7 linked regions of the Rattus norvegicus genome follow. The protein of the gene in region 1 interacts with the protein of each later gene in a pairwise test. Links are inferred from orthologs where the notes say so. Each region holds a gene or a part of one and is shown in the gene's direction. Other genes may lie near its edges. The genes, in order: Ssx2ip, Xiap, Ccnh, Morn4, Top3b, Tfip11 and Zgpat.

The links.
Region 2: the proteins of Ssx2ip (region 1) and Xiap interact in binary tests that used the Homo sapiens proteins (3 or more experiments, as listed by UniProt). The two-hybrid records come from large-scale screens. The link is inferred for Rattus norvegicus from reciprocal best matches to the Homo sapiens genes SSX2IP and XIAP.
Region 3: the proteins of Ssx2ip (region 1) and Ccnh interact in binary tests that used the Homo sapiens proteins (3 or more experiments, as listed by UniProt). The link is inferred for Rattus norvegicus from reciprocal best matches to the Homo sapiens genes SSX2IP and CCNH.
Region 4: the proteins of Ssx2ip (region 1) and Morn4 interact in binary tests that used the Homo sapiens proteins (3 or more experiments, as listed by UniProt). The two-hybrid records come from large-scale screens. The link is inferred for Rattus norvegicus from reciprocal best matches to the Homo sapiens genes SSX2IP and MORN4.
Region 5: the proteins of Ssx2ip (region 1) and Top3b interact in binary tests that used the Homo sapiens proteins (3 or more experiments, as listed by UniProt). The two-hybrid records come from large-scale screens. The link is inferred for Rattus norvegicus from reciprocal best matches to the Homo sapiens genes SSX2IP and TOP3B.
Region 6: the proteins of Ssx2ip (region 1) and Tfip11 interact in binary tests that used the Homo sapiens proteins (3 or more experiments, as listed by UniProt). The two-hybrid records come from large-scale screens. The link is inferred for Rattus norvegicus from reciprocal best matches to the Homo sapiens genes SSX2IP and TFIP11.
Region 7: the proteins of Ssx2ip (region 1) and Zgpat interact in binary tests that used the Homo sapiens proteins (3 or more experiments, as listed by UniProt). The two-hybrid records come from large-scale screens. The link is inferred for Rattus norvegicus from reciprocal best matches to the Homo sapiens genes SSX2IP and ZGPAT.

The regions. Positions count from the first base shown.
Region 1 is NC_086020.1:237,957,208-237,961,263, forward strand, and holds the start of Ssx2ip (afadin- and alpha-actinin-binding protein), read left to right. Parts: upstream 1-1,256; 5' UTR 1,257-1,365; exon of another isoform or gene 1,366-1,979; intron 1,980-2,308; 5' UTR 2,309-2,475; intron 2,476-4,056. UniProt on the Homo sapiens protein: Belongs to an adhesion system, which plays a role in the organization of homotypic, interneuronal and heterotypic cell-cell adherens junctions (AJs).
Region 2 is NC_086039.1:125,797,395-125,800,284, forward strand, and holds the end of Xiap (E3 ubiquitin-protein ligase XIAP), read left to right. Parts: intron 1-1,548; coding exon 1,549-1,742; 3' UTR 1,743-2,390; downstream 2,391-2,890.
Region 3 is NC_086020.1:17,576,994-17,580,493, forward strand, and holds part of Ccnh (cyclin-H), read left to right. Parts: coding exon 1-16; intron 17-1,097; coding exon 1,098-1,308; intron 1,309-3,500. UniProt on the Homo sapiens protein: Regulates CDK7, the catalytic subunit of the CDK-activating kinase (CAK) enzymatic complex. CAK activates the cyclin-associated kinases CDK1, CDK2, CDK4 and CDK6 by threonine phosphorylation.
Region 4 is NC_086019.1:250,845,144-250,849,242, reverse strand, and holds the start of Morn4 (MORN repeat-containing protein 4), read left to right. Parts: upstream 1-1,299; 5' UTR 1,300-1,436; intron 1,437-4,099. UniProt on the Homo sapiens protein: Plays a role in promoting axonal degeneration following neuronal injury by toxic insult or trauma.
Region 5 is NC_086029.1:97,626,798-97,631,044, reverse strand, and holds the start of Top3b (DNA topoisomerase 3-beta-1), read left to right. Parts: upstream 1-1,447; 5' UTR 1,448-1,521; exon of another isoform or gene 1,522-2,088; intron 2,089-4,247. UniProt on the Homo sapiens protein: Releases the supercoiling and torsional tension of DNA introduced during the DNA replication and transcription by transiently cleaving and rejoining one strand of the DNA duplex.
Region 6 is NC_086030.1:49,962,258-49,965,757, reverse strand, and holds part of Tfip11 (tuftelin-interacting protein 11), read left to right. Parts: intron 1-43; coding exon 44-571; intron 572-650; coding exon 651-757; intron 758-1,379; coding exon 1,380-1,548; intron 1,549-1,910; coding exon 1,911-2,154; intron 2,155-2,665; coding exon 2,666-2,808; intron 2,809-3,091; coding exon 3,092-3,257; intron 3,258-3,500. UniProt on the Homo sapiens protein: Involved in pre-mRNA splicing, specifically in spliceosome disassembly during late-stage splicing events. Intron turnover seems to proceed through reactions in two lariat-intron associated complexes termed Intron Large (IL) and Intron Small (IS).
Region 7 is NC_086021.1:188,850,214-188,854,418, forward strand, and holds the start of Zgpat (zinc finger CCCH-type with G patch domain-containing protein), read left to right. Parts: upstream 1-1,405; 5' UTR 1,406-1,540; coding exon 1,541-2,109; intron 2,110-4,205. Other genes in the region: Arfrp1 (ADP-ribosylation factor-related protein 1), read right to left, coding at 175-262, 519-695, 1,102-1,260. UniProt on the Homo sapiens protein: Transcription repressor that specifically binds the 5'-GGAG[GA]A[GA]A-3' consensus sequence. Represses transcription by recruiting the chromatin multiprotein complex NuRD to target promoters.

The DNA.
Region 1 (4,056 bases):
CATTTTTGTAATGATGTGTCTGTCCTTGCTACCTGTGTTCAGCATCTAATCTGTCTCCCTCCTCTTCTAACGCTCATGTCTGCACTCTGATCCACTTCTCAGCATTGAGGGTATGTGTAGTTCTTCTCTCTCGTTCTTCTGTGGCAGTGAGGTATTCCTTGTTTTCCTTTTATGCTGTTTTGGTCTCAAATTGTTAACAGGAGCCACTTAACCCCAAACTTTTTTCTCCTCGAGTAAACACCTCGCTAGAAAACCCCAAACTTCTTTTTCTCCTCGAGTAAACACCTCGCTAGAACTCCACCACCCCGCCCTTTACTATGGATTCTCCATTTTCCTTTCTGGAGGAACTTTTGGTAGAGATAGTAGGGAGGTAGGTGGATCTGGCCAATTGCAGCTGTCATACATTTTCTTTGCACTCAGTGAGTGGGCCTAGGGAGTTTTTCCATCAACTTCTAGTTCACAAGTACTGTTGTTTCTTCATTTCCCTTTCCAGCTGTCTCCTCCCTAGGTTCCTTTCTTTGCTTAATTTTATTCACTACTCGAGCTTTACTAGCCCAGGCTAGCCTCGAGCTCCCAATGACCTTGAACTTCAGTTCTGCTGGTTCACAGACCTGCAACCTCACGCACGCTGTGTGCAGTCCTGCGGCCTGAACTCGGGGTTTCTTGCCCACTACCCCGGCTCTGGTTTTCCACTGATTTTTGTGCCATTGGTGTGTTGATTCCCGAGGCCACTTGACCTTCCTTCTCCAGTGCCTGACCCAATTCTGGATGCCCGTTGGTGTCTCTCCGATCTGGGGAGCGCACCCGGTTCTCCTTGGGAGCGTTGGGGTTCAGGGTCGCCTCGGAGGCCGGGCTCTAAAGCGGCTAGGACCCTCCTCTTGTCCCCGCGGAGAGCTAGGGGCGGGGAGCGGCGGCCTGGTGAACCCGGGTGTAACAGGTGCGGTGGCCGCAGCTGCGCGGGGGAGAGCGGCTGGGGTTGTCGTAGGCTAGTCCTCGCTGGACCAATGCGGGCCGCGGTTGTTCGTCGCCTGGCAACCGGCGGAGCCAATGGGCGGCGCCAGCGCAGGGCGGGGTGGGATGGGCGCCCGCGGAGGAAAGCGGCGAGAGGCGGGCCGGGCGGACCCGGCGGGCTGGAGGCTGCGCGGAACCGCTGCGTGCCGCCGCGGGTGCGGGCCCGCGGGCTACGGGAGGCGTGAGCCGCTCCCGGTGCCGTGACGGTGAGCGGCGGGATTGTGACGCGCAGCCGGGGAGGGCGCCGGGCTGGACGTGGGCGCATGCACCCGGGCCGGCACTGGGCGGGCTCGTCGCGGCCGTTGCAGCGGTTGGAGAGCGTTGCTGCCAGCCGCCTGCAGCGGGAAGTGTGAGGTAGGTGCTGGGGACCCCGCGCCCTTGCGGGATTCGGCGGGGGCATGCGCGGGGTCCCTTCGGCCCGCGTGGGCTCGGCGATCCCTCAGAGGCTGCCGTAGGACTTAGCGAGTGAGGTCCGCCGTAGGTGGGTGCTTCATCGTGGTCCAGCCCCACGTTTAGGGGAAGAACTTACATCATCGCAGGGGTAGACTTGCTGGAGAAATTATTTGGCCTCGATTTTTCCAGTGGTGCACAGTGAGTGAATGGTGAGCTCTGTCTGGTCAGCACGTAATTTCTCCTAGTGCAGGTCGCTGGGTTATGCAAGTCACCTGGGCCCAGGAAATAAAACTTGCCAAAAAATTCCCCATCAGCACCAGTAGAGGAATCTTTTCATTAACCCCCACAGTGTATCAGATCCATAACCGGCAACGCTGATGCAGTTGTGAGAACTGGGAGTTCCTTCTAGACTGTATGAAAGGTGGAGTCCAAGGATGAGAGCCTCCTGGATTTAAGGTTTGCTTCCATTCGGAATAGAGTCCAGGCCTGGAGTCAGCTGGAAATAGTGCTGCCGTGGAGCCCGCAATCCGTGGAAGGAAATCTTTCTAGTCCATAATTTGATCTCGAACGGAAAGGTCCGTATATGACGTGACACACATTTACGAGGCTGGATAAAATTCGAAATGGTCGCTCCAGCCAGCAAAACTTAATCCATCCAATCTCCTTACTCCCCAAGAGCTTGTGGGCCCAGGAAGCGTAGTTTATTCAAACTAAACAAGGCAAGCTGCCATCCCTGTCGACACTTGGTCCTGCCTGGTGTGCATGAAAGTTCCTCATACAAAAAACGATTCTCTGAGAGGAGGATTAGGAATGGATAGAATTCAAACCAGGGCGTTTTTCTGGTGACTGCTGGGGCCCCTACAGCCTGTCATTTTACACCCTTCCTTTCCTTCTTGTTCTCCAGCTGTACAGGGAAGATAATAGGCCCAGGGATTAAGTAACCAGGCTGAAGCAGCTTGGAGATAACTGCAGAAGCTGGGTCACTCCAGGATGAAACGTGAAGCTTACTCCATGACACATTGAGCCTTGTGACAAGACCTGTTAAGTCCATAGCATCCTCGACTTGCTCAGGCAGGTGTACAGGACATGGAAAAGTTAACTGTTCCTGCTGTCCCTGAGACCTCAAACCCAGCCCAGTCAAATTAATGTACTTGGCCTCTCTTAAAAGTGGACAAACCAGCTTGTTGGCCCAAACCGGTTAGGATATACTGAATGTGCCCTCACTCAGCATTCAGCTAGAGGGGGTGGCTGGAGGGAGGGGAGGTGGACAGGGAGGGAGGTAGAGAGAGAGAGAGAGAGAGAGAGAGCGCGCAAGAGAGCAAGCAAGCTTGCCTAGAACTGTGGCTGCCCCAACCTTTTACTCCAGCTACCAGGAGACTGAGGTGAGGACAGCTTGAGCCTAGGAGTTCCAGACCTAGTAGAACAACACACACATCCTACTTAAAAACAAGCTCCCTCTCATTCTGAATGCCCTCACACAGTCCCTGGGGAACCAGACCAGGGCCATGGACATGCAAGGCAAGTGTTCTGTTGCTGAAACCCAGTGTGCCTTTATTTTGAGGCAAGGTTGCCTTGTTACTAGCTTGCCCAAGCAGTCTTTGAACTCCTGCCTCAGCCTCCCAGTAGCTGGACTTATAGCCCCGTATTTCTAGGCTCAGTTTCAAGAGCGAATTTTAGTGATAGCTTCCTGTATCTTTTACACTAGCTGTGAACTTACCTTGCTGGCTTACCCAATTGTTCATAACAAGAGGCTGTGTGAGTGTTCTGTGTCTTTAATTATGGTTAGGTGCTTATGAGCATACAGCTTACTTAGACTCATGAGCTTCTAGGATGAGACAGTACACCATCCGTTATTAGTAATGGGAAAACCTAGATTTATACGGTTTGATGCTGGTCCAGTATTTTGTGTAGTGTAGGAGCGATTCACTGTATGTTAATAAATTTATTCTTTCAGTAAACATTTATTATCAGACACTCAGCTGCCAACTGCCAGGCCTAAGGATAAAAAGATGTGTTGCTCTGAATATTGTTCTGGGGGGTGGGGTGGGTTGGTGTTGTGTGGAGAAGGGGAGAATGCAAATGTGGGAGGGCCTTAGCAAAGAAGGCATCTCAGCTGTGTCCTGACAGGCGCTCACCAACTGGTGCGAGCAGCCAAGCAGGTGCCGGTTACAGGTGGTTGGTGTCCTTGTGGCTGCTGCGTTAGTGACAAGCATTAATAACAGTGCTGTGACCCTTGACCAATAAGGAATATCCACACGGTTTTGTTGGGGATTATATTGCTTCTGATGTAGAGTATGTCTGCCCAAGTTAGTAATTTGCACAGTCTATGGGCTCTGGACCTTGATGGTCTAGATAAGACCTGAAAGCTTTCCCCAGGCTTAACTGAAGCTGACAGGAGCCTTAACAGTGCAGCAGTGGCTGCTCAAGCGGGTCCTCTGTGCCAGGGCTGGAGAGCCAAAGGTGATGAAGATGCAGCCACCATGGAATCCAGTCCCAGCCCAGGGCAGGCCCTGAGGGATGGGAGGTCCAAAAATCTGGGGTGGGAGCAGTGTGGGATTCAGAGAGGAGACTCTGGGATCAATAGCAAGTCTTAATGGAAACTGAAGAGACTGACTACAGTCCTGAGGTTGTGCGGCTGCATGCTTCTCCTTC
Region 2 (2,890 bases), on another chromosome or scaffold:
ACATGGCGTGCTACAGTGGATGTGTGTTTACTTATTGTACACCAAGTACCTAAGGAAGTGTTCACTGAGTGCTTTTACTTGAACAAAATTAAACTATTGCTTTCTGAACATGTTTTGGAAATAATGTTCCTTCTAGGACATAAAAAGGAGTGACGGCAGGCATGTTGGTACACTGTTAATCCCAGGATTCGGGAGGCAGACACAGGCAAATCTCTTAGTTCCAGGCTAGCCAGGACTTCATAGTGAGATACTGGATTTTGTTTTGTTTTTAAAAGGAGATACACAATTAAATAGGGACATGCATTTTTCCATAATGAGATGCATACAGTAAAGTAGTTCTTAGGCGACAAGCACTAGAAGTTAGCAGACAAACCTAGCAGGACTGGTGCAGTAGCTCAGTGGTTAAGGCACCTGCCCCCAAGCCCGAAGACCTGACTTGACGTCTGTAGACTCGGGAACTGTATGGTGCAAAAAGAGAACCAAGTCCTAAAAGCTGACCTCTTCATTTTTACACGTGTGCCACAATGTATGCACTCATACAACTATAAATCAATGTAATAAATTATTTTTTAGAAAGAAAGGAAACTTGTTTTTAAAAGATGCCACAAGAAGTAAGTGTGTGGCACAATGAATGGTATACAGTATCCTGAACTGCAGGATTCCTGACCCACCCCAAACACATAGACACACACAAACACACCAAAGGGGGAAGAACCTTCACGTAATTCTCATTTGAGGCCAGATTTATAAACCATTAATACACAGTGATTACAAAGATATGTAATGTATTCAGAGTAATGCCTGGTACAAAATATTTATGCTCTATTACTGTTGATTGTTGTTGCTGTTATCATATATGACTACAAATCATAGTTTTGTGGCATATTTGTTAGCATTTTACAAAATCTGTTTTGGCAAAGATTCAACTGTGCAGCTACTCCAGTATCCTCTATATGCTAATTACACCGAATGTTTTTGTTTGGGTGCCCTGCCAACATCTTAAATAGACTTGAAGCTGTAAAGCCTTTACCTCCTTTTATATTTCCAATCATCATCATTGCCTCCCTGACACATTAACAAACGCAACTTTAGTTCCTCTTTCCCTCTTTAGCCCTCACATCTAAGCACTAAATCCTACCCGTCCCACTGTATTGACCCTTTCCTGGAATTACTTAATGCCTTTCCATATGTTTGTACATTTACTTCATCCTTGCCTTTTCTGCCTGGTAATGTGTTGCCTATACTTAAATGTCCTCCTTGTCATGATGCCTTCCCCAACCACCCAGACAGAAGAACTTGTTCATCTTGCCCCAGAGCACTTTGTATGTAACTTGATTATAGCATGTTGCACTTTGTACTTACCCTCTCTGGCTGCAGCTCCCAGCCTCTCCCACTAGCATACAAGCTTCTTAAGAATTTGTGCTATGTCTGAGTCATTTTCATGTCTCCCAGGACTTGAGTGTCTGCCACGCAGGAGGGGTTCAATGTTTCAGTGAATTTAAACAACAAAACCCAAAACTAGTATATGTTGTTTTTCTCTTTATACAGACATCAGTACTGAAGAGCAGCTAAGGCGCCTACAAGAGGAGAAGCTTTGCAAAATCTGTATGGATAGAAATATTGCTATAGTTTTTGTTCCTTGTGGACATCTGGTCACTTGTAAACAGTGTGCGGAAGCAGTTGACAAATGTCCCATGTGCTGCACAGTCATTACGTTCAAGCAAAAAATTTTTATGTCTTAATCCAGCACCACAGTAGGCATGTTATGTTCTTCTTACTGCAATTGAATGTGTGATGTGAGCGAACTTTAAGTAATCAGCATCGCAGTCCATTAGCATCTGCTCCCAGATGGAAACAAATGTTAACAGCACTGTTTCAGGCTAATCTTCGAATTTCTGGATCTGAATGCCCGATCTTAGCTTATTAGCTGTTTTACCATTTATCCAGGGTTTGACACGTTAGAAACCTTAGACAAAGAAGCATTTTATAACTTTTCACATGTATATTTGTAGTACACTGACTTGTTTTCCGTGTGTAAGTGAATGAGTCACCTGCATTTTTCATTCCTTTTTTCATAAGCTTAACAAGCGGAGTGTTCTGTATAAGCAGGGAGGTTTGATTTAATCTGCCCAATCATTTTAATTTGCTTATTGTAAACAGGGAAAGAACTGTTCCACACTGGTTGGAGGATGAACATTGTTTTTAGATGTTTGTTTCTGTGTTTTAGGATTCTGTTCATTTACTTGGGATTTATTTACTTGGGAATTGTAAATGTACTTATATGAATATTTTTAAGTGATTTTGCCATCTCCTAAAAGATATCTAATGGTGGACTACCATCTAACTAGCATGTACTGACATAGAAAAGCATCACAGATATACTATGTATAAAATACAGATGGCAAAACACTATATTTATCTAGTTGGAGCCAAATCATCACATGTGTATTTTGTACCTGTACAGGACAAAAAGATTTGGAAAGATAAGTATCACACTCTTAAATGTATTTTTTCTTCAGGGGGTGGGGGATGGGTCTTAGAGGGCCTTATAGAGCCCTTCACTTTTTTCCATTTTTTTCTGTTTGAAGCTTTTATAAGTATGTATTACTTTTATAATCAGAATTCTTAGAAAATATTTTGCTGATTTAAAGGCTTAGGCATGTTCAAACGTCTGCAAAACTACTTATCGCTCAGTTTTAGCTTTTCTAATCCCGGAAGGCAGGCCAGTTAACTTTTCTGGTGCCAATGTGAAATTTAAATGTTTTTGTTTTACCTGCTTTGTGGATGAAAAATATTTCTGAGTGGTAGTTTTCTGACAGGTAGATCATGTCTTCTTATCTTGTTTCAAAATAAATATTTCTGATTTTGTAAAATGAAATATAAAATATGT
Region 3 (3,500 bases), about 220 Mb from region 1:
ACCCTCGGATAATAATGTGAGTATAAATTTGTTTTTGTTTTGTTTTGCTTTGTTTTTATTGAAGATGTTTATAATGTGTGGACCTTTATCTGTGAGCTGTATATGACAGATAACTGACAATTTTAATTAGGAACAATTTAGACCTGAATTTTTTTTCTATTTGGATATAAGGCCTTCTTAGTTACTGTTATGTTCTGTATAGCTAATGGCCTCTGAACTGCAGCTTGTCCACCACTCACCTAGTTCTCTTTCCACTAATAATCCTATTAGTTCCGCTATCAGTGGCACCTTTATTCTGCCAATTGCTTAGGCTAAGAATCATTTGAGGTAATTGCTTTCTCTCCATTTCCATTCAGTTTGTGCATCTTGTAACTTCATATTCATTTTGGCTAAGCAGAAGTATATGTTGTTTCCTCTCTTTGCTAAGCATCATGCTTATCATCATGTATGAGAACACAGTTAATATAGGACTCACCAAACTGTTTGCTGCCATTTATCCTTCTGTTTGTCTGTCTGTTTATTTATTTGTCACCATTCCCTTCTCAGCAGTCAAGCTCAGGGCTTTATTCTGGCTTCAGATACTAAAGGGTGACAGCAGTAGCTTTCTTACACTAGTTCTCGATGAACTTAACTTAGTACTCAGGAGAATTCCATGTTTGCTTGCAAGCAGTAATCACATCCTCACAATGACTTGAGGCTGCTGCTGCTGACTGTCTAGAGTATTAGTTACTATTACCTGTCTTGTATGGTTATAAGGTATATGCATGTGTTCTATTCCGTTAAATTAAATCTTCCATTTATATTTCTTGATACACACTACTTATTATGTTTTCCAAGTTTGTGGTTGGATTATAGATGCTATGTGTTAATGGTTAATGCTGTAGCAGTAGTAAATGATGGCTCAACCTAACTATATAGTTTCTCCTAAGCCTAACAAAGTTTAAAGAGGAACATTTTTTAACTTCTGTTTTATTTTTTAATTTAATTCATTTAATTTCCTGCAGTATCTAGCATAGTCACATATGAATATTATGCAGTTTACAAAGCACTTTAAGTAATAATTAGGTATTTCTGCCATCCTTTATTTTTTTATGTAGGCTTACTTGTGCATTTTTGGCCTGCAAAGTAGATGAATTCAATGTGTCTAGTCCTCAGTTTGTTGGGAACCTTCGAGAGAGTCCTCTTGGACAGGAGAAGGCACTGGAACAGATTTTGGAATATGAACTACTACTTATACAACAACTTAATTTTCACCTCATTGTCCACAATCCATATAGACCATTTGAAGGCTTCCTCATTGATATAAAGGTAAATGTACTGGCATGAAACAGCTGATAGAGGTACTCCTTTATTACTGTTTGCTAAAAAGAATCGAAAGCTTTCTAACCAGTAGTATCCTAACTGCTATAACACAGGTGCACCCCAAGAATCTTCGCTGGCTTTTCTAGGGTAATAGTTTTCAAACTTCAGTGTGCATTAGAGTCTACCCGGAAAGTTTGTTTCTTAAGATTATTGGGTAAGAATTCCCAGGTTTCTTGTTTAGTAACCTATAGTAGATTATCAGATTATAGTAATGTTCTTATAACTGGTATATATTGTCATAGATCTAGGCCTAGTGACTTATAGTGCCTCAAAAAATTCTTAATATTAAACCAAAAGATAAATTAATCTTATTGTAAATGTTTTATGAACTCAGTTCACAAATATAATCGCCAAAATTATAAGTAAATTGGTGACACCTGTATGGTCAGGGGCTCAGGAAGTTTAGGTGGGAGGATCACTCTGTACCTAGGAGTTTGAGACTAGCCTGGCACTGTAGTGTCAGTAGATCACAAAGCTTGTAATACAAATATGTGCATGTGTATATTTTACGTGTAGAATTCAGTCTATGTATTTGTATGTACCACATATTAATGCATATGTTAATATTGATGTAGTCAATTTAAGTTGTTGAGTAGACTAAGTCAAAGAAAAGTCAAGAGCTGGTTATTCTCAGGTAAGCAGCTATTTATGCTAAGCATTATGTTTTTGGGGTGCAACCTAGAAACAAGACAGGAACATGACAACTTTCATGGACCTTAGATAACTATTAATGTGGTAAATTTTATATAGGGAAATCAAAATATTCTATTAGAAGATGGCAGATTGAAAAGCAAGGAAAACACTGTTGAAGTGAAATTCAAATCAAGAGTAGAATTAGGTGAGGAAAGAACACCCCACCCAAAGACTTTCCTAGTCAAGCACTCAGGAAGAGTCAGGGGATGGAGGGGAAGAGTGTTTTGGCTTGAATTAAAGGCAGGTATCTAGACTAGGTAAATAGTGTTGAAGATGTTTACAAAGGAAAAAGACCATGAAAGCCTTGTCTATAGAACTGGCATGATTGGGTTCACAATGTGAAAAAATGGCCTGTTGGCACCTCACAGGTTAGTTGGTGTCTATACTAGTCAGGTTTCTCTAGAGTATTAGTGTGTGTGTGTGTGTGTGTGCGTGTGTGTCTGTCTGTCTGTGTGTGTCTCTGTGTCTGTGTGTGTGTGTGTGAGAGAGAGAGAGAGAGAGAGAGAGAGAGAGAGAGAGAGAGAGAGAAAGAGAGAGAAGAATTTATTAGGATGTGGTCAAGTTAATCAAATAGTGACTGCCTATGAACACAAGATCCTATCCACTGTCCAGTAGTTAAGTCTATGAGGCTGGATATCTCAACTGGTCTTCAGTATACACTAGAATGCCAAAGAAGGAAGTGCTAATACCAGAGAAGGAATGGACTTGCTAGCAAGGCAAGAGCAAGCAAGCAAAAAGAAGGGCCGCCTTCTGCCATGTCCTTTATATAGGCTTCCAACAGAAGGTGTGACCCAAATTAAAGATGAGTCTTAACACCTCAAAAGATCTGGATTAAAGGTGTGTTTTAAACAAAATCCCTGACAGGGTCATCCAGCCATTTGGGGTTCTAGATAATTTCAGATGTAGTCAAGTTGACAATCAAAATAGGCATTATACCATCAGATGAGATTAGACATCTGAATGTGTCTTGCATTATGAAGAGAGTGGATCACAATGGACAAAGGGGTAACAGCAGGGTAACAGCGAGGGCTTTGGTCATAAATGTTTAAACGGTAGTTGAAAAATGAAGAAGCTTATAATGGGAGTAAAATGTATCCAGAGTTGTAGGATTGTTGGAAAAAAATAAAGGGAAGTAGATAGAGTACTCTAGTAAGTAAGGAGAACATCTTTCCAATTCTGCTTGGATTAGGAAAAGATAATGGAGGCTGCTAATGTTTGCTAAATTCGGTGCCAGAAAGGTCATTCATGATTTTATTGACATTTGTCTTTGAAGTGTGGAAGGAAAATAAAACAGATTGGTGGCTTTAGGGGAATAAATTAAAAGACAACAGGCTGTAGAGATGATGCACCAGTTTAGAGTACTGCTACTCTTCTAAATGAGCAGGGTTTAATTCCCAGCACCCGCACTGTAGCTCATAATTGCCTGCAATTCCAGTTCCCAGGAA
Region 4 (4,099 bases), on another chromosome or scaffold:
TTGTTTTAAGTATCTTACATGGATTAGCTCCATTAACTGCCATTAAAACTCCTATGATGTTGGATGCTGTGTCCCGACGAGACAAGGTAATTTGCTCTGACCTAACAAGCCATCTTGCTGAAACTACAGTTTCAAGCCATCAAAGAAACTACAGTTTGCAAACTCTTGTGCTAATTTATAAGTCTTCCCATAATTTGGTCCCGCACAATCTGTGATTTAATCTCATTTTTTCCTTATTATTTCCTAGCACGAGTTCTAAGAAGATCCCTTTCTTTCCAATCCATTTCTCAGTGACTGCACTTTAATCTACAATCAATTCCACAGTTTAGCTTACATTACCAAGTGAGTAATTAGTACCACATTGAATGTATTGTCCGATCTCATTTTACAGGCTAGAGAGCTTACTAAGTTACTCAAAACACACACAATTCGTAAGTAGCAAAAGATAGGATTTGAGCACAGAAATCAAATCTTTAAAAAACAAAGCAAAACTACCGTCCCTTTGGCGTTGTGTTCTCACACAAGTCCTGTAAAGCCCTCTATCACTTTCATCATTATTACTTTCTAACCTGCGGCTGAAGGAATCCTAATCCAAAAAGCAATTTGAACCAGTTTGCTTTGTCTTTCAACGCCTCACTCGTGTCATGAGTCCCATGAGAGACGCATCAACGACCAGGGCTTTTCCAAGCCCTGAAGAACTTGCTTCTCCCGCATGCACTTCACTAAACAAACATATGGCTACACGGACATCCGGGAACAGTATTTGGGAAGATTTGCTCCAATAGTGGCACTAGGTTTTAAATACAAAAGATGTGGAACACAGAGAGTCCCTATGAATGGAAATGTGCAGCGCATCATTAATTATAAAGCTGAGCTTCTAAATCTGGGTTTAGGTTTTCTCTTCATACTTAGCGGTGGAGTTGTTTATGAATCTAAAAATCACAACCTTTTGAAATGTAGCCACTTTGAACACACGTTCGACCTTATCTAGGATTAAAGTCTCTGCCTGGAGGTGTCTGAAGACGTGAAACCTGAGTCCTTCTTTTCGGTTGGGGTTAATGAGATTGGACAGCAGGCTCAGCCCCACCCCTTTTTCAGATCTTTGGCCCAGACTCCCAAAACACTGGGCCCCTCACAAAGATGGCACGAAAGAGGGCTGGACCAATGGGGAGTGGCGTTGCTCGCGGTTGCCTAGGTAACAGCCAATGAACAGCGGGAATTGTGCCCAGTGCGGCCGTAAGGGATGGCGGCGTCCAGTGGGGCTGAGGCGGGTGGCGGGGCAGAGGGGAAAGTGGCAGTGGGGAGCCCGGAGCAGCAAAGATCCTAGCTGCTGGAGCCCCGCGTCAAGTCGGGGCGTAACAGTCGTCTTCGAGAAGCCGAGCTCAGGTTGGCCTGCGGCGCGGGTGGGAAGAGGACTTGGGAGTGCGGTCCACCAGGTAAGGACTGAGGCGGCAAGCAGGTGACTGGGCTGGGGAAGGAGCCTCTGTCCTGGCTGTACTGACAAGAAGGTGGCTACCAGTGGGATCCCAAAATTGGGTTTGGAGTTTCGATCCAGAGGTCGTAGCCCTGGAGAACACAGGACACTGGTTATCAAGAGGGGTGTGCCGGGCTGTGTCTGCAGGGAATGCCAGATCTGTGGGAGCTTGAAGAGCCTGTGGAGTGGGAGCCGACACCCCCCCCCCCAAAAAAAAGGACAGAACCGGGCTGAAATGAAAAATGCAGTGGAAGACTGGGTTGCGTGTCGAAGTCTGGGGTTTTGTTTAATCTAGGGCGCGTCTGTGCCACAGGTAGGGAGATGTCCCACTTACTGAGGCTTGGGGAATGGGTTGTCATTTCTGTAATTCAGCATCCACGAACTACTTAGGACCCAACCAGAGTAACTTCACTATATTAGAGCCCGGCCCAGACACTGTCCCTTCCCTTAGCATAGATAGAATAGTGTTGTGACAATATTACTCCGGAGAGCCTATCACTCTTTTTTTTTTTTTTTTTTTCTTTTTTTCGGAGCTGGGGACCGAACCCAGGGCCTTGCGCTCGCTAGGCAAGTGCTCTACCGCTGAGCTAAATCCCCAACCCCGAGCCTATCACTCTTGTGTCATTGTCTTTTTAAAAACCTTCTTCTTGGTACCAGTGTTCTCTTTTCATCTTCTTCAATCTAACCATCCCACATTCTCCCTAAAAATAAAACCTGCTTATCATAACAGTGCCAATGCTTACTTTCCAGATAGGAAGGAGATTATAATTTTAAAGTTAAAACCCTAATTATTTCATATTCATTTAAAAACACGTTTTATTAAACAGTATTTCCAGTTTCCTAATCTTTGCTCATCAGAGCTTTCATTTTCCCCTCTTAGGACTCTAAAAACTTATGGTTGCTTCCTTTGTAACTAAAAGAATTTTTTGTTAGCTTGCCTACCCAAGGAAGTGGCTTTGGGAACAGTTCGGAGATGGTGTGGATAGTTAGGGTGTCTGCTTCCAAACAAAAGGTCTCTAACTGGGATATGATTATTCTCAGGTTGGGGAGGGAAGAATTGTTGTTATTTTGTTTTAAAACTTCTTAATTTAAGCTGGACATACATGGTGGAGCCTCAGGAGACAGAGGCAGGTGGATCTTCTTGAGTTCAAGGCCAGCCTGGTCTACATAGTGAGTTCCAGGACAACCAAGGACTACATAATCCTCCTTCAAATAACAAACAAAAACGTCTTGATTTAGACAAAAGTTGCTGCAAATGCATAAATGTTCTTTAGTTAGCTTGGTTTTATGAGAGAGAGAGAGACAGGGAGAAGGAGAAAAGGTGGGGGAGGCATGGCAATAGTGTTTACTGCTCCTGCAGAGGGCCAGGATTCAGTTCTTAGCACCCACCTGTAACTCCAGTTCCAGGGAATCTAAAGGCCTCTCAGGCCTCCACAGGCTCTTGTACACACATAGCATACAAACATTCATGCAAGTTCACACAGAGACACATAAACTCAAAGCACTTCTAAAAAATGAAAACAATTTCTTATCACTGTCTTCGAGTTCTGTTTGGAGCCATCCACTGAAGAAAAAAAGTAAGAGAGCAAAAGATATAGTCTCTTTCCAACAGTCCCAGAACAGTGGATTACAGGGACAAAAAAAAAATGGTAATTTTAGGTTACGTTTCCATCTGATCATTTGCAGCTTGTCTGTCACAAGCACAGAAAGGGCCTCTGTGGGAATGTGGATCGTGTTGGTTTGTGACTGGATTCCAGGTATAGATCTGAAGCCTAGGGCATCAATTTTCTCCAACAGGATTATTTAAGCAAGTATTATAGACGTCGATCTGTGTTCCTTATTAAAGTATTGGGTTTCCCATTTGCATTAGTACTGGATACACTTTATTAATCTATATTTGCCTCAGTAACTATGGATAATCTTGGTTACTGGTGAAATTCCCAGGATGTGACAGTATCACCTGTTTGGACACATGTTGCAGTTCCTAGACAAATGTATTCAGCCATAGCCCGAGACCCCTGAGTTCTACATATGTTCCTTTTAATTAGCACTTCTGATTTGAGTCTTGAAACTGTTCATGGTTTTAAGAAACCACTGCTGAATTTACTGTATCTTTCTAGATTGAAAAGGAATGGAAATTTGTAATATATACTCTTGAAAACCAGCACGGAATGGTGTCGGGGTAGGTTGGCAGGTGGTACTCTGCTTATTACCACTAAACAATGAATTAACCCAGCCCTTAGCAGCTTAAAACCACCCCACGATACTCCCAGATCCTAAGTCAGGACTCTAGACCTGACATCATGGAGATGGCTTCTGTTTATTCCATAGATTCTCCGGTGAGTGGGTCAGTGTCTGACTGGGAACTGGAACCATTTGACTGACAGCTCCTTCACTAACGACTGCTCCTGTCAGAGCTAAGATGACTGACAAGTGAGGATGCAGGGCGGTGGTGGCATACGGTGCTAGTGCACGCCTTTGATCCTAGCACTCGGGAGGCAGAGGCAGGCAGATATCTGTGAGTTTGAGGCCAGCTTGATCTATAGAGCGAGTTCCAGGACAGCCAAGACTACACGGAGAAACCCTGTCTCAAACCTTCTCCCCAATGCCCCCCAAAATTGGAAT
Region 5 (4,247 bases), on another chromosome or scaffold:
GGCTCATCTCCCTGAGGGAGAGTGACCTCAACTCCCCTCTGAGAGGCTGAGCCCCACGGAAGCAGATTTGTAGTTCATGTTCAAATGCCTGGTGAATGGGACGAGAGTTCTCTCCTTAAACCTAAGCCTCATATCAGACCCCAAAAATGTGTGGGAGCAGTCATTGGGCCTCTTTAGATGTTCGTAAACCACATGTGAGCACACTGAATAAATTCCTTTTTAGTATTACTTATCTCTTTTTTAATTACATTTTTACTTTCATTTCTTTTGTGTGCACATAGTCAGCTTGACAGCCGCTGTTCTTTGCCTGCTGAGACAGACATCTTACGGGTTCTTACTTGTCTCTTTGATTGATGATTTGAGAGTGTGTGCCCAACCCTAGCTTGTTGGGGGTGTTAGAGCCAGCCTTGGTAACAAAAGAATGGCTTAACACCATAAGTTTGAGGCCACCCTGGGTCCACAGTGAGTTCCAGGACATCCTTGGCCACATAATGAGACAATTTTAAAATAAATAAAATTTTTAAAAAAAATTTTTTTTAAGATAGGGTCCCACTATGTTGCTCTGGCTGGCTATTCTGGACCCCGCTATGCAGATAAGGCTGACCTCGAACTCACTGAAATCTGCCTTTCTCTGCCTCCCAAGAGCTGAGATCAAAGGTGTGAGCCACCACCAGGCTATTAAAAATGATATGCTAATAAAGTCATAAAAACTATTTTAAAATTCCATAATTCTAATGCTCTAAAAAATGTACATATTATCTTCCAGATACATTAACACAAATAGTATGGTCTACAAAAATTTAAATGGTATTTTGTTTTGTACAGCCTGAGTCCTAAGCTGGAATGAAATTCACTGTGTAGCCCTGAATGGCCTCTAATTCTCTGCCTCGGCCTCCTGATTGCTTGATTCCTGGTAAGAGCCACCATCCTAGCTCATAGATGTTCCTAACACTAAAAGAAGCCTGCTATCTGAAATGTATAAATCATTGTAATTATTGGGCTGAAGAGATGCCTCCGTGGTTAAAGACACTAGCTGCTCTTCCAGAGGACCTGGGTTCAATTCCCAGCATCCACAAGGCTGCTCACAACTATCCCCAGTTCCAGGAAATTCGACACCCTCACATGGATATGCATATGCAAGCAAAACACCGATGTACATCAAATAAAACTTTATTAAACTTTTTATTAAACTTTAAATTTTTATTTTAATCATTAATTGCATCTGTCTTCATCAGTTTTCATCATCATACTGACAATCGTCATTATTGTCCTCTGGATAGTTTTTGGAAGACCAACTCCAGGCTGAGGGAAGACACACAACGGAGACTTGGACCCTCCTGCACCTAACAAGATGCAGACAGCAAGGCACCCGGAACTCACCAACCTCGGAACTTGCAGACACCTTAGTGTCGACATCGGAGAGCAGATGAGGGGACGCCACAAGCGGACAGAGCCGGAAGTGCGTTCGTGAGTGGCCACCGGGAAAGCACGGCCGGAGCGAGAGGTGCAGCGGCACGGCGGGTGAGCAGTGGGTTGCTGGCTGCTCGAGGAAGCGGAAGACGCTGGCTTTCTTCGGGCATTTCCGGAATGGTAGCGGAGCTCCGACCCGGGTGGGGGCGTGGGGGAGGGTCCTTGCCTGGTGCGGCTTTTTCCCGGTCCCGCCCTCGCTTCGGGTGGGACCGAGTTTAGTGGGCGACTGTCGCTCCACCGAGCTCCCCGCGGCCCCGCGATGAGATGTTTCTCCCTAATTGAGGGTAGGGAAACTGGCTCAGGGAAGCCTTGCTGCCCACAAAAGCTCGGGCCTGCGGTCCGCGTTCTTAGTCGAAGGTTCTACTTGCTGCCGGCCGGAGCCTGCTCTGTCTGGAGACCCGGGCTGTTCTCTGTTTTGATCTCCACAGGTTTGGAGAAAACGTGGGTAAACCAATGAATTAGAATCGAGGGCCAGCTACTTAATCATAGGTGAAAGGAAAGAACGATGACTTCTCTTAAACTATTTGGCACTCGGCCTTTGGGAACAGGACTGTGAAAAGCGAGGACGACTTGGATTTGATAGCTGGAGAAGGAGGGGAATTTTCACCGTTCGCCAAGGTCCCTTTTCACTTGTCTGAATTATTAGGAACTGCAGTTTACTCTGGCTAACTGGGCTGATGAGATGGCTCAGAGCTCTTACCACCAAGGTTTCGATCCCGGGAACCCACTTGGTAAAAGGAGAGCTGAATCCCACAAGTTGTCCTCTGACTTGTGACCTGTAGCATGCGCGTGCCCATACATATCCACACACAAATAATTGTTTGTTTGTTTGTTTAATTTAAATTTAACTCCTATTTTATAGTGATATTCATAGAACTGCAGCATAGTAGATACAGAGGAGTTAAGAGATAACAGAGAAGGAGTTAAGAGGCTTGTTTTCCTGGGACTGTAGGTGCTTAAAAGTCACTGAAGTGTTAAATACTTAGATTTTCCATGCTTTGCTGACCTCTTTTGGGGATCCCCAAGTTAAATCCACTACTTCATAATACACTGACCCAAAAGGAAATCTCCATATTTACAATGTTTTCCAAAGGGCACAATGATTGGTGAGATTTGGCAAGGTATAAGCAAGTTGTCTTACTATTACTCTCTCTATGCAGTCCACACCTAAATAACTCCAGAATAGGACAAACTGTAATGTCAAAACTTTGGCAGAAAAGATCAAAGTTGGTGTATCATGTAGGTTTACGTTAAGGAGTCTATATATAAAAATCTTGGCTGGACATTTTGGTATACTCCTGAATTCCCAGCACTCAGGAGTTGAAAATGGAAAGATCAAGAATTCAAGATCATAGTGACTACATAATAGAGAGGCCAGCCTTGGCTACACAAGGCCCTGTGTAGAGACTTAGTGCCTTTTCTTTTGTGACAGTGACTGTTAAGGCCCTGGATTACCTGGTTCTGTATCCTTAAAGGAATAAAAAAGGGGCTGGGGATTTAGCTCAGTGGTAGAGCGCTTACCTAGGAAGCGCAAGGCCCTGGGTTCGGTCCCCAGCTCCAAAAAAAAAAAAAAAAAAAAGGAATAAAAAATGTTTTAACAGCTTATTGCTATGTAACTGAGTATAGCCTGCAACTCAAGCTTCTCCTGCCTCATTCAGCCTCTTGAAAGATGCTATTATAGGTGTATGCCAGCATACCTGGCATTAGAAATCATGTTTTTCCTCCTTTGAAATAGTGATAGAATATTACAAAGTCCTCTTGTGCTGAAGTGCTACAACTACTTGTATTTGTTTTGAGTCAAAGCTCCTGAAGATAAATATATATTCAAAGTGGACAACAGCTGAATAATCTGACTAGTGGGCAAGCATCTGAAGTTGAAATGTGTCGCATACCTTTGTATTACTGCCCAGTCATATTCCTTTTCCTGGATACATGACATAATCCTGCAAAGGCAGAATGTCTGTGTCTGAAGGAACTTGTCAATCTATTCAGTAATTTAGGATCTTAGGTTGTAGAAGAGTAAAAGAGATACAAACTTCCCAAACTTTGAGCATAGAAAAAGAATGCCTAGAAATAGAAGTATTTGCTGTCAACACCCTATAAAGTCCGGTGTTGCTGCTGCTGTTGCTGTTTTTATGTGATGAGGACTCACTGGTAACACTGGCTGTCCTGGAACTTACTAGACAGACCAGACTGGCCTCAAACTCACACTAAGAAATCTACTTGCCTCTGCCTCCTACCACACCTAAGGTGAACTAAGTTTTCGGTCTGGTTTGGTCTGGTCTGGTTTGAAGGATCTATAAACAGGTAAACTTACAGGTAAAACTGTTGTCATGTATTCAGACACTCATTTGAGATTGCTCACCATCCACTACTTTCCGTTAGATTGAGCGAGAAAGTCCCTGCTCTCACATAGCCAGCTTATGTTCCAGGAGCTGTAAGATAAGAACCTGTTAGGAGTCTGTATCAGGCTTAGAAGTAAGCTACAGGGCAATATAGCAAGAGACATCCTTAGAGGCAACAGGATAAAATCTTAGAGCACAGGTTCTAGAGCAAACAGGTGTCCTGCCACTTCAGCTCTAGTGTGATCCACATTCCCATTCATTCTAGAACATTATAATGACAGTGTCCCCATTCCAACCACATTGGTGGGACTGTCCAGTACCCACCACTTTCTTTGGAAGACACAGGAACTTCAAAAGCCTTAGTAGAACAATCTGTTTCCAGTTTTCCTTTCTGGCCTCTTGCTCCTCTATATGTGATAGCTCTAAGGACTG
Region 6 (3,500 bases), on another chromosome or scaffold:
CTGATCAATGGTGCTAAGGGGTGGTGACCTGTCTCTCTCATAGGTGATCGACATGACAGGCCGGGAGCAGAAGGTGTACTACAGCTACAGCCAGATCAGCCACAAGCACAGTGTGCCCGATGAAGGGGTGCCGTTGCTCGCGCAGCTGCCTCCCACAGCTGGCAAGGAAGCCAAGGTGCCGGGCTTCGCGCTGCCTGAGCTGGAGCATAACCTGCAGCTGCTCATTGAGCGTACGGAGCAGGAGATCATCCAGAGCGACCGGCAGCTGCAGTACGAGCGGGACATGGTGGTCAGCCTGTCGCACGAGCTCGAGAAGACAGCCGAGGTGCTTGCTCACGAGGAGCGGGTCATCTCCAACCTCAGCAAGGTGCTGGCCCTGGTGGAGGAATGTGAGCACCGCATGCAGCCCCATGGCGCTGACCCGCTCACGCTGGATGAGTGTGCCCGCATCTTTGAGACACTGCAGGACAAGTACTACGAGGAATACCGCCTGGCGGACCGCGCAGACCTCGCTGTGGCCATCGTCTACCCGCTTGTGAAGGACTACTTCAAGGATTGGCACCCCCTTGAGGTGAGCTAGGGTGCAGCCTGCTCTTGGGCTGGGGCATGGCTGCCGAGCTGGGAAGGCTGATGATGCTGGTGTTCTGCAGGACAGCAACTACGGCACCCAGATCATCTCCAAGTGGAAGAGCCTCCTGGAGAACGACCAGTTGCTGTCTCACAGCAGCCAGGACCTGTCCTCAGATGCCTTCCACAGGTACCAGGCCGCACCCCACTGTGTTCCCTTCCAGGCCCCACCCCACTGTGTTCCCTTCCAGGCCCCACCCCACTGTGTTCCCTTGCTTCTCCAAGGAGCAGGAATTGTGCTAAAGGCTGGGTGACAGCCATTCTGGCCCTGTTGACTCTGCTCCACCCCAGCACTGCTCTGGGCTGGGGGTGTTGGAGATGTGCTCACCCATGTGTCTATTGAGAGTCCTGAGTGTCCAGGAGCTGGGCTCACCCTGACCATGCGCACCTTTGGCCCAGTCTGGAAAAGGCAGTGCAGGGCACTAGTAAGAACTAAGAATGCGCCAGGCGTGGAGAGGACAGGTGTCTCAGGAGGGGACATTCAAGCTGTGACCCCAGGTGTGAGAGGTGCTGTGAACTGAGGCTCTTATGGGAAAGCAGCTGATGACCCTGTGCTGACACTGTCAGCCACATGAGCCTGTAGCAACCCTGCCAGTGTTGGCATCACTGAGGAGCCCAAGGCTGAGAGCTAAGACATCACAGGGACCCCTGTGGGGACTGGCCTGAGGTTTCCTGTGGTGGTCTGTGGGCTGGTACACTTTGAGCACCATGAAGCCAGCAGTGTGGCTGACCAGCTGCCTTGCCTCTCGCAGGCTCATGTGGGAGGTCTGGATGCCTTTTGTTCGGAATGTTGTCGCCCAGTGGCAACCCAGGAACTGTGAGCCCATGGTGGACTTCCTGGACAGCTGGGCACACATCATCCCTGTGTGGATCCTGGACAATATCCTGGACCAGCTCATCTTCCCTAAGCTGCAGAAGGAGGTAGGGCGGGGCTCTGACTGGGTCTCTTAACTGTGCACTGAAGTCCTGAGGTTGAAGGGTGTCAGCATGGCTGGTGGCCTGCAGTGTTAATCGTAGTCTTCTCCATAGTACCCCTCCCCTACCTCCCTCTAGTGGGAGTTGCCTTTCTCAGTGTCTTTATTGAACCTTGAGCTATGCTGAGGCTTGAGTTGGTGGCCTGAATGTTTGGTTTTCTTCTATGGAGGGACCTAGAGTACAGAATGCCTACTATTTACCTCCATGGTGGGTCTTGCCCTCCCTACACACAGGCCTCTCCCTAAGGACAGCACTGCAGTGTCATTAACTGCCCATGGGCTGCATTGCTCATTCCACTCATCCTGTAGGTGGACAACTGGAACCCCCTGACAGACACCGTCCCGATCCACTCATGGATCCACCCGTGGCTGCCACTCATGCAGGCCCGCCTGGAGCCGCTCTACTCCCCTGTCCGCAGCAAGCTGTCTAGTGCACTGCAGAAATGGCACCCCAGCGATGCCTCAGCCAAGCTCATCCTGCAGCCCTGGAAAGAGGTCCTCACCCCTGGGTCCTGGGAGGCCTTCATGCTCAGGAACATCGTGCCCAAGCTGGGTAAGGACACAGGGACCTGGAGGCCGAGTGCAGCTTACTCAGTGTCTACCAGAAGGTATACTACTTAGAGCAGAGATAGATGGGAGTGGAACCAGGGCCTTCCTGCTGTTCCTTTACAGCTTGGCCAAGGTCTGCAGTGATGGCTCTGGGCTCTCTGTGCCTTGTGGTTTCCTGACTGATTTGGATGTCAGAACCAGAAAGCCAATGGTCTGTTTTTATTTATTTTTTTTTTTTTTTAAGATTTATTTATGTGAGTACACTGTAGGGGCCGTCTTCAGACGTACCAGAAGAGGGCATCAGTTTCCAATTCAGATGGCTGTGAGCCACCATATGGTTGCTGGGAATTGAACTCAGGACCTCTGGAAGAGCAGTCAGTGCTCTTAACTGCTGAGCTATCTCTCCAGCCCCGGCCCTGGCCTTTTAAGTGCTTGTGAATCTTCGGAATTCACTGTGGGTAGAATGACAGAGCAGACAGGAGACTAGAGAGTCTGCTTTGCCATCTCTCTTGCAGGCATGTGCCTGGGTGAGCTCGTCATCAACCCCCACCAGCAGCACATGGACGCCTTTTACTGGGTGATGGACTGGGAGGGCATGATCTCCGTCTCCAGCTTGGTGGGATTGCTGGAGAAGCACTTCTTCCCCAAGTGGCTTCAGGTGAGCACTGTGGCACAGGAGGGACATGGGGTGGAGTTGCGAAGCGCCTCGTCTCAGCTCCTCAGAGAACCTGTCAGGGATGTGGAGATCAAGTGTGTAGCACAGAGGCCACAGTCTGGCTCCAGATTCTACTGGAACTGCTAGACACCGCAGCTCCCCGTGCTCTGTAGTGTGGGCTGCTGGAAGGAGCAACACTGAATGCAGCAATTGCTCCTGGGGACACTCGCTCTCAGTGCTGTGGTCCATGTGTGGTCACCACTCAGTATCCTGTGTTCTTTGGCAGGTGCTGTGCTCCTGGCTCAGTAATAGCCCCAATTACGAGGAGATCACCAAGTGGTACCTGGGCTGGAAGTCCATGTTCTCAGACCAGGTGCTGGCACACCCTTCTGTCAAGGACAAGTTCAACGAAGCGCTCGACATCATGAACAGGGCTGTGTCCTCTAATGTTGGTGAGCAGGTGTCTCAGTTAGGGTTTCATTGCTGTGACAGACACCAGGGCCAAGGCAACTCTTATAAGGACAAGGTTCAGAGGTTCAGGCCTTTATCAAGGTGGGAGCATGGCAGTGTCCATGCAGGCTGGTGAGGGAGGAGCTGACTCTCAGGCAGTTAGGAGGAAGCTCTCAAAGCCCCCTCGTCCAGTGACACACTTCCTCCAACAACGCCACACTTCGTAATAGTGCCAGCCATATTCA
Region 7 (4,205 bases), on another chromosome or scaffold:
TTCACACATAAAGTCCCAGCTCTCCCCAGGATGAGACAAAACATTCTGGTACCAATCCCAGGGGGCTTGAATAGAGAGATGGGGTTCTGACCACTGGTCAGTTGAGTTGTGGACCTTACAGTATCCATTTCTAAGGGACCCCCCCAAGCTCATATCCCTAAGGTGCCCCCTTACTGTTTAGACCCACGGTAGTGGTGATTTTGGATAGACTCATTCCCTTGTAGTTCTTGTTAAATCGTGTTTTTGACTGTTCCAGGAAGGTCTGAGGAAAGAAAGAGAGGTGGTTAGATAGCAGCACCTAGAGCAGTTTTCTGGTGTTCTTCCCAATATAACCCTTCACACCTATATGCTTTGGGCCTTCACATCCATACACATATGCACGCACACCTCTCTGCCTGTTGACTGCTCTTCAGGAGGCTGGTGACAACTAACCTGTAGTCTTGGGGCCCCGGGTTAGATTTCCAACATAAGAAAACATCAAGCGGGGAATGGGAACTCGTGAGAGAACAAGGACCTACCGTCTTCCCAGCATTGTCCAGGCCCAGGATCAGGATGCAGTATTCATCCTTCTGGAACATGTACTTGTACAGCCCGGAAAGCAGCGTGTACATCCTGTTTGGCACCCTGAGAGATGTCAAGGTGTGTACCAGGGTCATCGGCCTCCTGCCCGCTTCATCAGTGATCAGTCTATCCTGCTAGTTTTTAAATGAGGATCCTGACTCTCCCCCCCACCCCCTTCGGTTAAAAATCTCTGACCCTGACTCCACCCTTGCCCACCTGCTAAACCTGGGCCACTCCCACTTAAGGTCATCTTTCAGAATACACCATCGACCTGGAACCCTGAAAAGCCCGTGGCGGCCTACTCTACTCCGCCTTCCAAAGGATCCTCTTTCCGAACCCTCAACTCAGCGACAGGAAGCAGGGCCAGCGGACTGTCTAGGGAGCTACCAAAGAGGCAAAGCTTCTGGCGAGGGTCGGCTTCGGATTCCCGCCGCTGCTGGGCCCACGGAGACTAGGAACCATCTGCTGAAGCCACTTCCGTCCCCCTATTTCAGGACTCTAGAACCCCAGCTCCTCAATTCAGCTGAGGCCCACCTGTACCTGCTCAAATTTTGGAGGAGGAGCCGCCGCCACCGCGTTACTAACCCCACCGACCTCACGTTGACCCCTCACGGTGCCTGACGGAACGAGGATCGACAGACCCAGCACGGGCGGAGTCGCATCCCAGCGTCCCCCGCGCGCCGGTACTTCCGGCAGCATCGGCTCTCCGGCGGAAGTGCCAGCGGAGGGCGGAAGGTTAGCGCGTGAGCTTTGCTGGGGAAGCCGGAAACCCTTCTAGACTGCGACCGCAGTCAGGAGGTGGGGTTGCGGACGGCAGAGGACGGGGGCGGGTTAAGTGCAGGTCCCCTCGGCAGAGCCTGGGTCCTCCTCAGCCTTTCTAGCGGTTTGGGGGGGGCGGCGTTGCACTTAGCCCTTCTTACTGCTCTTCCTTCAGAGCTTGTCTGCCTTAAAGGTTCCGAAACCAGCCTTCTGGGTCAGGATGGACGAGGACAACCTAGAGACTGCCCTGCAGACCTACCGGGCCCAGCTTCAGCAAGTAGAGCTGGCGCTCGGTGCTGGCCTAGACGCTTCTGAGCAGGCGGACCTGCGCCAGCTGCAGGGCGATCTAAAAGAATTGATCGAGCTCACCGAGGCCAGCCTGTTGTCGGTCAGGAAGAGCAAGCTGCTATCTACAGTGGACCAGGAGCACCAAGAAGATGCTGAGTACTTGGCTTTCCAGAAGGCTATAGCGGAGGAAGCACCCGTTGACCCCGGCAATGACTCGAAGACGGTCCCTGGGAGCGAGGTGCAGCCGACACCCACCTCCTCTGCACTGGAGGAAGAGGAAGAGGACCCAGATCTGGAGGATCTGAGCGGTGCTAAAGTGAATGCCCCCTACTACAGCGCGTGGGGCACGCTAGAGTATCACAACGCCATGGTTGTTGGCGCCGAAGAGGCGGAGGATGGTTCTGCGTGCGTTCGGGTACTCTACCTATACCCTACCCACAAGTCCCTGAAGCCCTGCCCGTTCTTCCTGGAGGGAAAGTGCCGGTTCAAGGAGAACTGCAGGTAAAACCCTCTGCTACTAGCAATGTGGGACACGTAGTCAGGACCACCGCTGTGGCCTGCCGCCACAACTTTTTCTGCACCCTGCAGAGTTGATAATGAAGAGTCCGAGCTTCAGGTGACTGACAGGCTTTTACAGAAGTGTTCTTCGTTTGTCTACTTAGATTTTCTTGCATAAATCAAAAAGTTTGAAAGGGCTATTGTTGAAAGGATAGGGCAACCCATCATCAATATTATTCTCCAAGGTAAAACGTTTTTTGCTTTGAGATGGCAATGTAACCTCGGCTGTTCTTCAATTCCTGATCCTTCAGCAATTGTGCTAGATCCCGAATGCCTTCAACTTCCAAATGCTAGGATTACAGGTGGAGGCCACCACCACTTTTACTGGGCTACATCTTCAGCTTGGAACCTTTTTTTTTTTTTTTTTTTTTTTTGACTATGATGAGGTGGAACTAGGGCCTCCAGCACACCAGGCAGTCAGCTACTCTACACCTCAGTCCTACCCTCAGCTATGGGGAGCGTTTATATATAGTCTTACAGAACATTCAAACACATAACCTCTTGCTACTTTGCCTTTCCCCCTTGTGCTACCTTTGGCAAGTCACATCTTTTTCTCTCACCCTCAAATACTTCAGAATGTAGCTAAATAATAATTACTAAAACCTACCTATGTCTTTTTTTTAAAAAAAAAAAAAGATTTACTTGTTATATATAAGTGCACAGACACACCAGAAGAGGACACCAGATCCCATTACAGATGGTTGTGAGCCACCATGTAGTGGCTGGGATTTGAACTCAGGACCTCTGGAAGAGCAGTCAGTGCTCTTAACTTAACCAGAGTTATTTCTCCAGCCCCTATGTCTTTTTTTAACTCAATAATCCAGAGTAACTCTAGTGCTTTGAATTTATTTTAGGCCACTGAAATAAAAACAGATTTGTTCTACTATAATAGTAGTTAGTAGTGATCTAAAATTAGTTTCACTTGGCCAAAGGCAGGATTTTAAGCAGGGCTAGATCCTTGGAAGTCTGAGGGTAGAATCCAGAATCCATTTCTTTGTCCTTTTTTTTTTTTTAATTATTATTATTTTATTTTGACTTATTTATTTTTTTTACCTTTTTAATGTTTTTCTCCAAGGATCCATAGGTTTCTTTTGTTTTGTTTTGGTTTGGTGCAGGGTCTCTGTGTAGTCCTGGCTGTCTTGGACTACATATAGCTATGAAGACCTGACTGGCCTTGAACTCACTACCCAAAGGCTGATATTAAAGGTTTGCACCATGGCCCGGCTATTTTTGGCCGGCTATTTTTGGCTTTTTTGAGACAAAGTTTCTATAGTAGTCCTGGTGGCTGTCCTGGAACTTACTTTATAAACCAGGCTAGCCTGGAACTAACAGAGAGCCACCCGCTTCTGCCCTCTGAGTGCTGTGATTAAAGGCAAGCACTACCATTTCTGGCTAAGATAAATTTTTAGTTATGTGTATTTGTGTGTGAGTGCATGCGTATGTGTGTGTGTAGGGGGGTGGGGGGTGTGTACCTACACAATCTTCTAGCCTGAGAAAACTAGAAGAAGGTGTTAACCACTGAGCCGTCTCTCCAACCTCCAGAGACCAACTGTATTCCTTGGTTTGTGGCCTCCTCACATCGCTTTAGGCTCTTATTCCCACGTTACATCTGTACTCTGCACATCTTATTTCTTTACTTTGTCTTTAAAATGAGGTCTCATGTAGCTCAGGCTGGCCACACACAGCCATTTCTATATACCCAAGGATGACTTTGAACTCTTGGTCTTCTTGACTTCACCTTCAAGGGCCAGAATTGTAAGCAAGTGCTACCTATCTTGGCTGTGCACATCTTTTTGTTGTATTTCATGGTAGACCGGACATGTCCTTGCCCAATCTTCCTTTGCTAGCAGATAGGTGCATAAGTGATCTGTGTGCCCAGCAGGTTTACTTTATTTGTGTATGGACAGGGTCTCTCTGTTGTGCAGCCCTGGCTGACTAGAGATGAGTTTGCCTCTGTCTCTGGAGTGCTGGGATTAAAAGAGTGCTGTTGTTGTAAAATTAAATTAAAAACTGTCTTTTACCCCCCACTAGATCCAGCA